Mytilus edulis: one gene and its partner. The protein of the gene in region 2 interacts with the protein of the main gene of each other region in a pairwise test. Links are inferred from orthologs where the notes say so. Each region holds a gene or a part of one and is shown on either strand. Other genes may lie near its edges.

Region 1 (7,008 bases), on a different chromosome or scaffold from region 2:
CTTTATTACAACTGTCACCTTAACTTAACATTAACCAAGATAACTAAACAAAGACCAATGAACCTTGAAAATGAGGTCAAGGTCAAATGAACCATGCCAGGCAGACATGTACAGCTAACATTTAGTTATTCTTCTATACAACATATATAGTTGACCTATTACTTATAGTTTAAGACAAGAGTGCACACACTGAAATGTCTCGCCTTCTTTACTAATCATTGATATTATGTTGATACTCCTAAATATAAAGCTTTATTATGACTGTCACATAAACTTAACATGAATCATGAAAATGAGGTCAAGATCAGTTGAACCATATGCCAGGCAGACATGTACAGCTAACAATGCTTCCATACAACAAACATGACAAATATAGTTGAGCCTATTGCTTATAGTTTAAGAAAATAGACCAAAACACAAAAACTTAACACTGAGCAATGAACCGTGAAAACCAGGTCAAGGTCAAATAAAACCTGCGCGACTGACATATAGATCATAAAATATTTCCATACACCAAATATAGTTGACCTATGACATATAGTATTAGATAAAAAGACCAAAACTCAAAAACTTAACTTTGACCACTGAACCATGAAAATGAGGTCAAGGTCAAATGACATCTGCCCGCTAGACAATTACACCTTACAATCATTCCAACCAACAAATATAGTAAACCTATTGCATAAAGTATGAGAAAAACAGACCAAAACACAAAAACTTAACTATAACCACTGAACCATGAAAATGAGGTCAAGGTCAGATGACATCTGCCCGCTAGACATGTACACCTTACAATCATTCCAAACAACAAATATAGTAAGCCTATTGCATAAAGTATGAGAAAATCAGACCAAAACACAAAAACTTTACTATAACCACTGAACCATGAAAATGAGGTCAAGGTCAGATGACACCTACCAGTTGGACATGTACACCTTACAGTCCTTCCATACATCGAATATACTAGACCTATTGCTTATAGTATCTGAGATATGGACTTGACCACCAAAACTTAACCTTGTTCACTGATCCATGAAATGAGGTCGAGGTTAAGTGAAAACTGTCCAACGGGCATGAGGACCTTGCAAGGTACGCACATATGAAATATAGTTATCCTATTACTTACTGTAAGAGAGAATTTAACATTACAAAAAATCTTAACTTTTTTTTCAAGTGGTCACTGAACCATGAAAATGAGGTCAAGGACAATGGACATTTGACTGACGGAAACTTCGTAACATGAGGCATCTATATACAAAATATGAAGCATCCAGGTCTTCCACCTTCTAAAATATATAGCTTTTAAGAAGTGAGCTAACACCGCCGCCGCCGCCGGATCACTATCCCTATGTCGAGCTTTCTGCAACAAAAGTTGCAGGCTCGACAAAAAATAGACCAAAACACAAAAGCTTAACACTGTGCAATGAACCGGAAAATGAGGTCACGGTCAAATAAAACCTGCACGACTGACATAAAGATCATAAAATATTTTCATACATCAAATATAGTTGAGCTATGGCATATTGTATGAGAAAAACAGACCAAAACAAAAAATTTTTAACTATAACCACTGAACCATGAAAATGAGGTCAAGGTCAGATGACACCTGCCAGTTGGACATGTACACCTTACAGTCCTTCCATACACCGAATATACTAGCCCTATTGCTTATAGTATCTGAGATATGGACTTGACCACCAAAACTTAACCTTGTTCACTGATCCATGAAATGAGGTCGAGGTCAAGTGAAAACTGTCTGACAGACATGAGGACCTTGCAAGGTACGCACATATCAAATCTAGTTATCCTATTACTTATAATAAGAGAGAATTTAACATTACAAAAAATCTGAACTTTTTTTTCAAGTTGTCACTGAACCATGAAAATGAGGTCAAGGACATTGGACATGTGACTGACGGAAACTCGTAACATGAGGCATCTATATACAAAGTATGAAGCATCCAGGTCTTCTACCTTCTAAAATATAAAGCTTTTGAGAAGTTAGCTAATGCTGCCGCCACATCACTATCCCTATGTCGAGCTTTCTGCAACAAAAGTTGCAGGCTCGACAAAAATGGGGTGTATCCATTTATTTACCAATAAAGTATAATTCTAGTTAGTGACCTTTTGTAGAAGTTGTTTTTGTCAGTCAGAAATGTTTTAGCTAGGTGTAATACTTAATGATGATGTTCTACATCAAACTAGCAGTTGAACGATAAAAACAGCACTTTTAGTCTCAAGAATAATTCCAATGAAAATATAATTTGCTCAAATCTCACACATTAAAAAAATTAGGGACAGCTCAAAGTTCATGACAAAGTTCATGACATTTTCTGATTTTTTTTGCACAATAAAACTTTGTAACTACATGACTGTGTATGAGCATATCAGATGATATTCTTTTTAAAAAATATCTTGTGCAGGGATGCTTTCCCATACCTTGAAGATATATAACTGCCCAAAATCATGCTCTACATTTACAAAATTAGCATCCCAACATCAAAACCTACTGTTAGAAGAAATGATACCTAGGATGGGGAAGTGATAAATTTAAATGCATCCCCTTTAATACACCTTATCGCTATTTGTCCGCCATTACTGGACTTTGGACATCACACAGGTTCCCATAAAATTTGATGTCATAATACAAAATACCTGACGCCACAATGGAAAAGTGATTGTTGTAAGACCTCAATAGTTCAAGCGGGACAGATTCTTGGGTCAGCTGGGAATAGCGATAAGGTGAATACCATCTTACTGTTAATTGGTATAGGGTATGTTCCGCCTAATGACATGTTCGCCCTGTGTCCATTTGCCCTGAGTTCGTTCGCCCATAGAGTCTGTTCGCCCTATTTTAAAATATCAATATTCAGGGCATTGAATTTGAATAAACTTATTCAGATATTTCTATGGTATATATTCTTATAAATTTAAACGTTTATGGCTTGTTTAAGATCATTAATTGTTCAATGACTAATAATAAAAACAAACATTTTGTTTTGATAAAATATTCAGCTTGAAATCAATAAAAACAATTTTGTACGAACTGTAAATCATGAAACAGATTTTGAAGTTCATTTATTATAATACTCTGGGACTAGTTTCATTTGAACTGCATACATTCGTGATTGACTGAATACAATTATTTTGCTAACAAATATCAATAAAGATATATTAATACATAATGTATTCCAAGTATTCTACTCTGTAAATCAAAGGGAAAATATTAAAATAGATTGCGGCAATATAAATATTTTGTCAATTTTTCAACAAACTTTAAACATATTTTGTTAAAATATTTAAAATTATGCGACTAGACAACAATTAGAGAAAATAAAAATCAGGGCGAATGGGCTCTAGGCGAACAGGTATCAGGGCAAACAGGTGCGAGGACGAACGCGAATCAGGGCAAACAGACCCGGATTCCTGTTGGTTAACTGGTAGTATATACTGAGTGCCAGGTCTCCCAGGATCGGTTCCACACTGATTCAGTACTTAATTTTGGAAGACAATCTCTCTGGTAATATTTAGTTAAAGGGTTAGGGAAATGCCTACACTATCACTATCAGCAGGAACAAGCATAATATTAATTTAAGTATTCCTGGAAGACCATATTGAAAAAATATTTTTTTATATATATTAAAATATGTGCCCTATAAAAGCAGAATAGATAATAACACACAGTCACTGTCGTTGATTAAAACATTCAATGATGAGCATAAAAACATGTTTACTGTTAAAAAATGTAGGTCAGTTGAAAAAAGGGGGGTAGGAGATTATATGTCAGAGCGGACGTTATCATTTACAAAACAGAATTTTGTAAAATTTCATGTACCAATGACATCCTTTAGCTCGTAATCGTCTTTTGTATTAGGCCATGGAGCCTTTTCCTCAGTTGCCTGGACTGTGGGTTTGTCTGCCATGATCAAGATTGACCTTGACCTAACAACTAGGGGAGATAACGTCTCAAACCGGAAATGAATTACGATGTTCAAGAAAAGTGGACATGCAGAAATAATACGATCTCATCAAAAAGACGAATTTTACATCGGATATTTAAAGTCTCAAATTACAGATATATCCCAAGCATTACTTGGTACGTCATACGGCTAGCTGACATTCATTAGATTTCCAAATATCCTGATCTTTTGGTCATGATGTTAGAACCACAGGAGTTTAAAAATTATCCTAAAAAATACCAAACTCGACTATCACAGTAGAGCTTCTCTCGAAGCTTCAAACTCCTGTGGTAGGAATAGGAGTATTGAACGCCTTTGGCTATTTAATAATAATAAGTAAATCTACACTTTAAGCTTATAGAATAGAATAGAATCATTGAGAATAGAACAGAATATTTTTATTTCCCAAATTACAGGGCCCATAAAGGGCATAAAATCAGATACAATTGATTTACATAATTGGTAACAACAACAATAGATTGTACAGTTTTATTGACCAGTTACTCGCAATCAATATATTGTAACTGCAGAGCCCGTATCTACTCTACAAATTCATATCGTTACCACCGGGATTCGAACACCAGTCGTCTGGGTGGCAGTCAGTGTGTTAACCCACTGAGCCAAATAATCGATTCCCTAGCTCAGTTGATTAAGACTGGCTATATATGTTCTACCTGTACTAAGGGGACGCAACCCTGCTACACTATTCCCCCACCACAATAGTCGTCATATCTTTATATGACTCTTAACAACACAAACCCTGGCTATACTCCAGATTACCATCATTGATTTTTTTTAGTCGGGCGCTAAATGTAACCGGAGAGCATGTATCTACTCTACAAATTCATATCGTCACCACTGGGATTCGAATCCCGGTTGTCTGCGTGACAGTCAGTGCGTTAATCCACTGAGCCAAAGAATCGATTCCATAGCTCAGTTGATTAAGACTGGCTATATATGTTCTACCTGTACTAAGGCAAAGCAACCCCGCTACAATGTACACTGTTAATATCCAAATAACACTGTTAATATCCAAATAACACTTGTAATGACCAAATAACACTTGGAATTTAAATATTAGCAAATATTCATTGATATTGGTGACTTTGAAAACATTGGTTATTAAATATTAGTATATTATCGATGTATTTTATAGCAATTTTGCTTTATACTTGCATGGAAGAGGGTCGTATAAACATGATAAATAGAGTACCTTCTTGACGAATTATGGTACTAATTCTCGCCAAATGATGTTAACAGTACATTTTGGTACATGTCAGACGATGAAATGTACAGGGTTTTTTTTAGACATTAAAGAATTTGACTGATTTTGACAATTCTGCTATTTTTTTTACCAAAATAATGTTGACTTTTATTATTTGAGACATCTGACAAATCACTGTAAGGATACATGTATTTTGACGAATCATAATAAAAAAAAAATTTGACACTAACGGAAGCCAAAAATAACCGTTTGACGACTGACAGTGAGGGGCATTCCTACCCTGGTGGAAATTGGTTTCATTGGGGTCTTTTGAAGCTAATGCCTGATTGGCTAGGGTTTTTATTGCATGTGTGCACGACGAAAGTCAAATTATTCAAAATGAAAATGGGAAACCAAGTTAAGCGGGACACGTGAAATTACAAGCATTATCATTACGATATGATAAGCAGGATACAGGAATCTAACAAAACAATAAGCTGGATCCGGGATCAGACTAATGTTGATTTAAAATTTAATATAAAAGTACATGTACCTGTTGGTCTCACTAATTAGCATAAAGAAGCAACAAGAAGAAATAAATTAGCAACAAGGGAAAAACAAGTTACAACAGAAAGACAAATTAATAGCAACAAAAAGTTTAAATACTATTAAATTGTTTAGTAAAAGTCAATTGATTTCAGTTTATTATTTGCTGTTTTATCATGTTTATAAAGTTTATAAAGTTTGATGTTTTGCTATATTTAGTACCACTATGTACTTTGTCATTGTAATCAGTCATGTCAGTAGTCAAATGGAAGTTTACCTGAAACTACTGTCTCTGCAAATTCCATCAATATATGTTTATAAAAAAATTGTTCTTAATATCATTTAGAAATGTAAGCTATTTGAAATAATTTGTCAAGTTGAATAGTCCATTTGCCAATTACCAGTGGCGGATCCAGAAATTATCATAAGTGGGGGCCCACTGACTGACCTAAGAGGGGGCCCGCTCCAGTCACACTTCAGTGATTCCCTATATAAGCAACCAATTTTTTTCCCAAAAAGGGGTGGGCCCCCCCCCCCTAAATCCGCCTCTGATTACCGTTATTGACCCTGTATTTAGAGATCCCTATTTAAGTAGTCTCCCTTATGAGGGACATCAATTTTTATTTACAATGCGAGCTAGCAGAAAGAGCAAATTTACCTGTGCGAAATGTGAGTAATCTTTAAGGTTTTAAAATCTTTTATTTAAATTAAGCTAAATACTTTTGACATCAGAAATTATTTTTCATGAAAAGTTAGTTAAACCGCCGATACATCTCTTTCAATTCATCATGCTTTGCATTGGCAACAGCCAATTTGTCCGGTATAGAACTAGTCTACAAGTGACAAAGGGAGTTTATTCGTTTAAAAAGTGTGTAATAACAGAATCAAATCGGTAATTGGAAAATGGACTATTGATTACAGATTTATTTATTCAAAGTACATCTTCTTATATCTATATACAAAGATTATGTTTGGATTTCAAGTTAAGACATTTCAGCCTTTGATATGATAATGTTGTTGACTGTCTAGAGTTTTGGTTGCATACTTTTTTATATCTTCTAGGACCAAGAAATTGGATTAAATGGCGGAAAGAACTTGATTTGTTTGCAGATCTTGGTTACTTTACCCTTACAACTTTTGCAGGTAACTTAAAACTAATGTTGATTTTTTTGGCTGAATATTGTATAAGAAACATCTTTTGTTAACTGATAATATTCACATTAAACATCAGACATTCTGTTTGTCATTCATCATGCTCATGTTATATGTTAAAGTTGCTATGTAATTATTTTTATAAAT
Region 2 (7,143 bases):
TTACCAGTCATTTGCTGACATCATAAATGCAACACAAAAAGAAATGATCCCATATAAAGAAATTAAACCAAGAAAACACCAAAAGCCATGCTGGTGGAGTAGCTCAGTAACATCTGCCAAAAAACACCTAAATCACTGCCAGAAACAATACAGAATGAGGAACATTCCACAAAACAAACAAAGACTCATCATTGCAGAATACAACTTTGACAAGGCAAAGGAAGATGCACAAGAAGAATGGAGTAATAACCTCGTAAACCAACTAAATCAGGCTAAAAACTCAAAAGACTTCTGGAACACGTACAAAAAGATGTCCAGGAAAACAGAAGATAACTCAGTACTCCCATTAATTGTTGAAAATAAAGATCCAATATTTGACAACAAAAGTAAAGTTGAACTTCTACAAAAAATTTTCTTTGGAGGTAGCCACCTAAAGGATGAGTCATTTGATAAAGAATTTTATGATAGTATCAACAAAGAATACAAAGAACTAAATAACATGTATCAGGCAACAAATGAAACAGATCAACATAGAGAAGGCTTTGATAGAGAAATAGACAAAGACGAGGTAGAAGCAGCTATATACCGCCTTCGCACGGGGACTGCCCCAGGACCAGATCAGCAGTTTGCTGAATTCTATAAGCATGCAGGTGACAAATTTACAGAAGCCTTAGTAACAATGATGAACATCATATGGCAAAAAGGGGAATTACCAACAGAATGGAAAATGGCAGATGTAAAATTTCTAAGAAAACCAGGAAAAACCAGCTATTACTCATCCTCTTCTTACAGACCAATCAGCCTAACTTGCATTATATGCAAACTAATGGAGAGAGTCATCCTAGAACGCATTGTGGCATATATTGAGGGTCACAGATTGATTGATTTAACTCAAGAAGGGTTCAGAAAGAATCACTCAACCACCAATGCTCTACTTCGGTTAGTCCAAACAATAGCTGATGGTTACAATGAGGATGAATCAACTCTTGCATGGCTAGTGGACCTTGAAAAGGCATATGACTCAATATGGCGTGAGGGGTTAATGATCAAGCTGCATAAACTTGGGATAAAGGGAAAAACCTGGTTATGGATAAACAGCTTTCTCACAAATCGAACAGCCAGATGTATGCTGAATAACTTCTTTGGAGAACAATTTGATACCAAAATCGGCTTGCCACAAGGGTCAGTACTATCACCCACCTTGTTTAACATATTCATAGCTGATATAATGGATAACACAAAAGGAGAAAATTGCAAGTTTGCAGATGATGGCACTCTATGGCATAAGGGGAAAGACATAAAGGAAATGAAAGAAAGAACTTCAGAGGATGTCAAAACTATTTTAAAATGGACAGAAAAATGGAGAATTAATGTAAACCTGGAAAAGTGTGAAGTATGCCTATTCTCAAAAGGCAACACAGATGCAGAGCAGAAAACATTAAAAGTCAACTCCTTCTCCTATAGATATAGTCCAACACCGAAGCTACTTGGAGTAACTCTAGACGAGAAGCTTAAATTTGACACCCACATCAATCTGATGCAGAAGAGGGCAAATAATGCAATATATGTAATTAGAGATATTAAGGGCATGGGAGGAATATCAAGATCAAAACTACTCCAAATATACAACAGCATGGTTAGATCTATCATGGAGTATGCATGCCCAGTCTGGCAAATAACATCTGCAGAGAATATGAAGAAATTAGAAGCTGTACAAAGAAAAGGCTTGTCAATATGCCTAGGACTACCAGGAACATCAGGTAGAGAGGCAATGGAAGTTGAAGCCAATATACAACCCATAGACCTCAGAATAGAGGAAATATCAGTACGTGAACTGGCAAAAATACAATCAAAGAACATAGCAGAACCAATTAAACAACAACTAGAACAGTATTTAACAAACAACGCAACCTATGAACAACAGGATTCTCCATTTGGTAAAGCTATAAACCAATCCATAGACATGTTCAAAGCCACGAAAGTTGACATCAAACTTATAGAACCAGAATTCACATACAAAGCTGGTGTAGATGTCATGCTAAGGAGATCACCAAGTTATTGGAGTCGTCTAGGTAGCTCAAAGAACAGAACAGCCGAACAAACTGTTGAAAGTAAACAGGTTGTAAAGGACCTATTAGGAGACAGCACAGACTCAACAGTAGTGGCATTCACTGATGGTTCATGTCAAGGTAACCCGGGACCATGTGGGGCAGGAGCAGTAGTATATTCTGGAAATAGCCAAGGCATAAGTCTAAAGAGGCCAGTAGCTAATAGAGGATCGATACTTCTTGCTGAACTAGTAGCCATACTAATGGTCCTGGAGCACTGTATAACGACTATAAAGGACCAGTTTTCTGAGCTTAAAATACTGTCAGATAGCCAGACTGCTGTAGGCATCTTGACTCTGAACTGGAAATCTTCTAACTACATCGACACAATTACTGATATCAAAGAATGCATGGGAACGTTCTTAAGACACGGCATACTAACAACCCTATCTTGGATCCCAGGCCATGCTAATATAGCCGGGAACGAGATAGCGGACCAGTTGGCAAAAGACGCTGCAAAAGAGGCCTCATCACTAAATGATCAGTATAATGTCATAACCATGTCAGATGTAAGATGTGCAGTCAAGATGTCTACAAAACTCAAATGGCAAAGCAGATGGACAATTAGTGAAACTGGAAGACAGCTTTTCAACCTAATTCCTATCGTTGGTAAGGACGCACAACTAGACAAGCCTAACAACCAAATAGGAAGAATATTGTCAGAAATAAGAACGGGCTACAGCAGACTTAACAAATACAGAAACCAAATCGGTCAATCCCTCACGCCATATTGTGAATGCGGAGAAGAAGAAACATCAGAACACTTCCTGCTATACTGCCCAAGATACCAACAAGAAAGAGAGGACATGCGAAGACAAATGGAACTACTTAACATCGATCCAACAAATATACAGTCAATACTAGCACCACCAAAAAGAGAAACCTACGAAGCAACATCGCAAATTGTAGGGGAATATATTACAAAATCAGGGAGATTCCAAGAACTTGCAATCCCTGATTCCCGATCCTGCGCCTAACAAGTATACCAAAGTACCGCGAGATATTACCTCGAGCAACGGTGTACCATAAGAGGAGGAAGATAGCACACAGAGAACAGTAGTGTCAATTATTGACCTTAGGATCAGGATCAGGAACGTTACCTGATGACAGCGTTTCTTTGTTTACATTGAATATGACGTCATAAATTAAATAACATCACACTTAAAATCCCTAACTACAGAACCAAAATCGGAAACGTTACGGTATTTCTGTTTCTCTTTTTAACATGTTTGATTTAAAAAAAATAACCATACAGACTTCGTCCCCATTCACAGGTAATGCCTGCCTCATATTACGAATTATTAGACACTATAAATGTTTAATTCAAAAAGAACACAGAGGTATTGAATCATAATAAGTAATATCTGTATCCATATTTCTCTCATTTTTACGATTTCTAATGGATTTGGCCTTTGCCGGCTTTGGGGGTGTGTCATGGTCTATTCCCAATGTATTTAATTCATTTTTTTCAATTCCACTATCACTTTGTAATGAAATTGGTGTTCACATATTAAAGTTTAACAAATATCTCATCAAACAATGATATATTTATGGATCTTAAGTGAAATTATAACATATTTTGAGCATTTTACCTGCCAAATATATTTATGTTGATGACAAGCCGGAAGTGACAGTGGAAGACTGAGAGCAGCAAGATAACATGAGATTGTTCTTTAAGAGCACTTTATGAAATACGACTAATTAATTGGAAAGATTTTAAAATACAACGCACTCAAACGTTATAAATGAAAACATAATATATTGAATTTTAAAGAATAATATCAACGAAAAATACAAAACATATGTACACAAATTTTTAAAGTTAATTTTTAGGTATGTTTTTTTTTCATGTGAGCATTTTGACCTTTTGGATCATTTTTAATTAAGTTCATTGTTGTGCGTTGTTGTTATTGATTTTATTTTTGTGTATTTAGTTATACTTCTAAAGACTCTAAACAGAAATAATCTGGCTAGACTCTAATAACCTAAAAGCTATTTATGACCATGACCTTTCTCAAAGTCCATGCTCCATACAAAACAAACTACAAATTTGCTTAAAGTTTCTTGATATTTATTGAAAAAAAAAGGGAGCTTAAAATACAAATACTTATTTAAGTTAATAGATCCCTGAAAAACAATGGCCGAAAGTGCAACGCACTTGACATCTGCTATATTCACTTCAAAACCGTCTATTTTTGAAGTTCTTGCCCAGGACAGTCTTATGAGCACAATAAGACCTGCTCTTAAACATGCCATAAAGGCAAGGAATAGTATAGATTTTCACATTGGGTTTAATTGAATGATACTCTTAGCTTAACTACAGATTTTGAATCTCAATACATGTACACCTTATCACTTATCCCGGCTGACCTGGCCGCTTGAACTTTTGACGTCATACACAATCACTTTTCCATTGTGGCGTGAGATATTTTGTTTTACGAAGTCAAAATTTATAGGGAACCTGTGTGATATCCAGAAATGACCGACAAATAGTGATAAGGTGTATAGGTGCAATTAGAGTCTTGAGAGCTAATTCTGTATTCTCCAGTACTGTTAACGAACGACTTAAAGTATCTACAATATATGTGTAAAAGAAGCAATTCCTTTAAGTCGTCTGTTAACATTACTTGAGAATTAAAAATGTTTTTTCTCGCAAGAATCATGCTCTCAAGACTCTGATTACACCTATTGAGATTCAAAATCTGTAGTTAATCAAGTTTAAGAATTGTCGTCTCCTTTTTTCTGAAAAAAAACTATGTCAATTCTTTCCCTCAGTTGAATTAAACAAAACTAATTTGTATAAATGAAATAAATAAACTTAACGGAAGTTAAGCATCACAATTGTCATGATTGTATGGTTTAGGTTCCAAAATCAAATTGAATATCTACATGTACCATCAATTCTAACTAAAAATAAATTCAAAATTTAAATATTTTGACATGGTTTAAGGCCATGAAGGCTACATTTGGTTTCCGATGGATTATTGTCTCATTAACAATCATTCCACTTCATATTTTTATATGTTTTTAAGAATTTAATCCAACAATAAAAGCAATATAAGCATACACATTTTTTATATCCAGATCTGATAGACTCGTGGAGGAAGTTATTGCCCCTAAAAGACATTTTTTTTGTGTTTTTGCAATTTCACAGTCTGATTCAGCCCAAAACACTGTACATTACCGCTGCATGCTGAAATAATCATGAGGGAAGCTGACATATATACTTAGTTAATTTAGCAATCAATAAAATGTTAATCAATACTGTAACAATAATTTTTAACAAATTTATTTTTAATGCTCAATTGCGCCCTGTGAAATTCTTTCCACTGACAATATTTATGTTTTTAATGAAGTATCTGTCTTATGCTTTGATCATGTCTTGAAATTATTTCATAGTTATTCATGTCCCCCTTGAGAACATGTTTTCTTTATACTGTATATATAATAATGAAATTATGTATCCTGTCAAAGAATAGACAAAGTTTCATTTACTTATTATTCATATATATTTGTCTTTTTAGGTTTTAGCAGAGACAAAGCCAGATAAATTTGCATGGATGCTGAGATTTTACGATGAAATATACACAATACTTGATCTAATTCTACAGAATTATTATTTACGTTCATACAGTAAGTCAAATAATTACTTTATTTTTGGATAAGTGGCACAATAATTGATGTAAAAAAAATATGAGAATTTTGTTTTCCTAAACTAAACCCATATATCCATACTTAATTAGATGACACAGTCAAGTCTGAACTTAAAAAATGAATTCAATTATATATATGTTATAAAAATTCTGCCAAAATAACACATAATTTCATATATATATATATATTAACTGTATACTTTTAAATGAAAGCTACTGCAAATATATGGTAAAGTATATATATCCATAACACCAACAAAACCTGCACTGAGACTAACTTTCATTTCAGCCATCATGTTCACAAGTCTTGAAACATTTAAATTAACGTAAAACTACTTTACTTTTTATTAAACATAGAGTTGACCATAGAATTTTATATTCATTCGCTTTAACAGCTATAACCCTATAACCCACATATGATTGTGTCTTCTAATTCTATTTCAGGTGGATCTTTTGCTGAAAACTTTTATGGTATTAAAAGAGTTGATTGTCAGAAGGATCAAAAACAGGAAGATACAAAACTTTCAAAACGTTGTCTAATTAAATCTATCTTATGCTTGGTAAGATTTTGTTGACAGTTAAAATAGGAAATATGTTTTTGTTAACTGTCATTTAAAGTAAAGATGTCATGGTTTTAAGTGTACAAAGAATTCTGTCTAATGGCTTTGTGTAAAATTTTGGATAGTAAGCATTAGATAATGATAATTTATAATACATTGCTTAAATGTGAGCTTTTTGTCATATGGTGCATGAAGTCAAGTTAATCTCATGTAAGATGAAATTACCTGAAAATCATTATCATGATTATGTACCCACAGAATTCTTTGTTCATGTAGGCATGATATTGCTTTAATATCAGAAACTATTGAGAACAATACAAATATGTTTCTGCCTTCCAGTAAAAAGCCTTATGAAATGAATAAGAATCAATTGATCTTTTTGTATTTGGATATCAGTCCAGTATTTATTTTGAAAATGGGAGATAACTCTATAATAAAAAAAGGCAGTTCTGAGTCAAGAATAGCAGACAATGTTTTGTGATGGAAACAGTATGAATAGTAGCTGCTCTTGCCACAACATAACACATATATCTTGACTTGGCTTTTAACCACTACCTTTTAGGAAAACAAGTTGCTTTAGACTACATTCCACCACATGAACAAAATTAATTAAACTTTGTGTACTTAGATGAGTAAGGTCTGCATGATTTTTTTTCTCTTTTTGAATTGTTATTATTTTTTGACAAGTTAGATATAAGATATACAAGTATCAGTATTTTAATGAAAATATTGCAATAATAACTCACTCTTTGTAGGTCATTTTGCCATATATAAAACATAAGTTGGACTTCATTTTTGAAGAATTGAGACACAAAATAAACA

The links.
Region 1: the proteins of peroxisome assembly protein 12-like (region 2) and peroxisome assembly protein 10-B-like interact in a two-hybrid assay, tested with the Homo sapiens proteins (4 studies listed by BioGRID, with this or other methods). The link is inferred for Mytilus edulis from reciprocal best matches to the Homo sapiens genes PEX12 and PEX10.

Annotation. Positions count from the first base shown.
Region 1 is NC_092345.1:104,804,266-104,811,273, reverse strand, and holds the start of peroxisome assembly protein 10-B-like, read left to right. Parts: upstream 1-3,957; 5' UTR 3,958-3,987; coding exon 3,988-4,096; intron 4,097-6,771; coding exon 6,772-6,852; intron 6,853-7,008. Other genes in the region: serine/threonine-protein kinase OSR1-like, read right to left, coding at 3,836-3,923.
Region 2 is NC_092349.1:85,761,691-85,768,833, forward strand, and holds the start of peroxisome assembly protein 12-like, read left to right. Parts: upstream 1-4,095; 5' UTR 4,096-4,245; coding exon 4,246-4,368; intron 4,369-5,632; coding exon 5,633-5,741; intron 5,742-6,205; coding exon 6,206-6,321; intron 6,322-7,076; coding exon 7,077-7,143. Other genes in the region: uncharacterized protein, read left to right, coding at 155-3,085. UniProt on the Homo sapiens protein: Component of a retrotranslocation channel required for peroxisome organization by mediating export of the PEX5 receptor from peroxisomes to the cytosol, thereby promoting PEX5 recycling.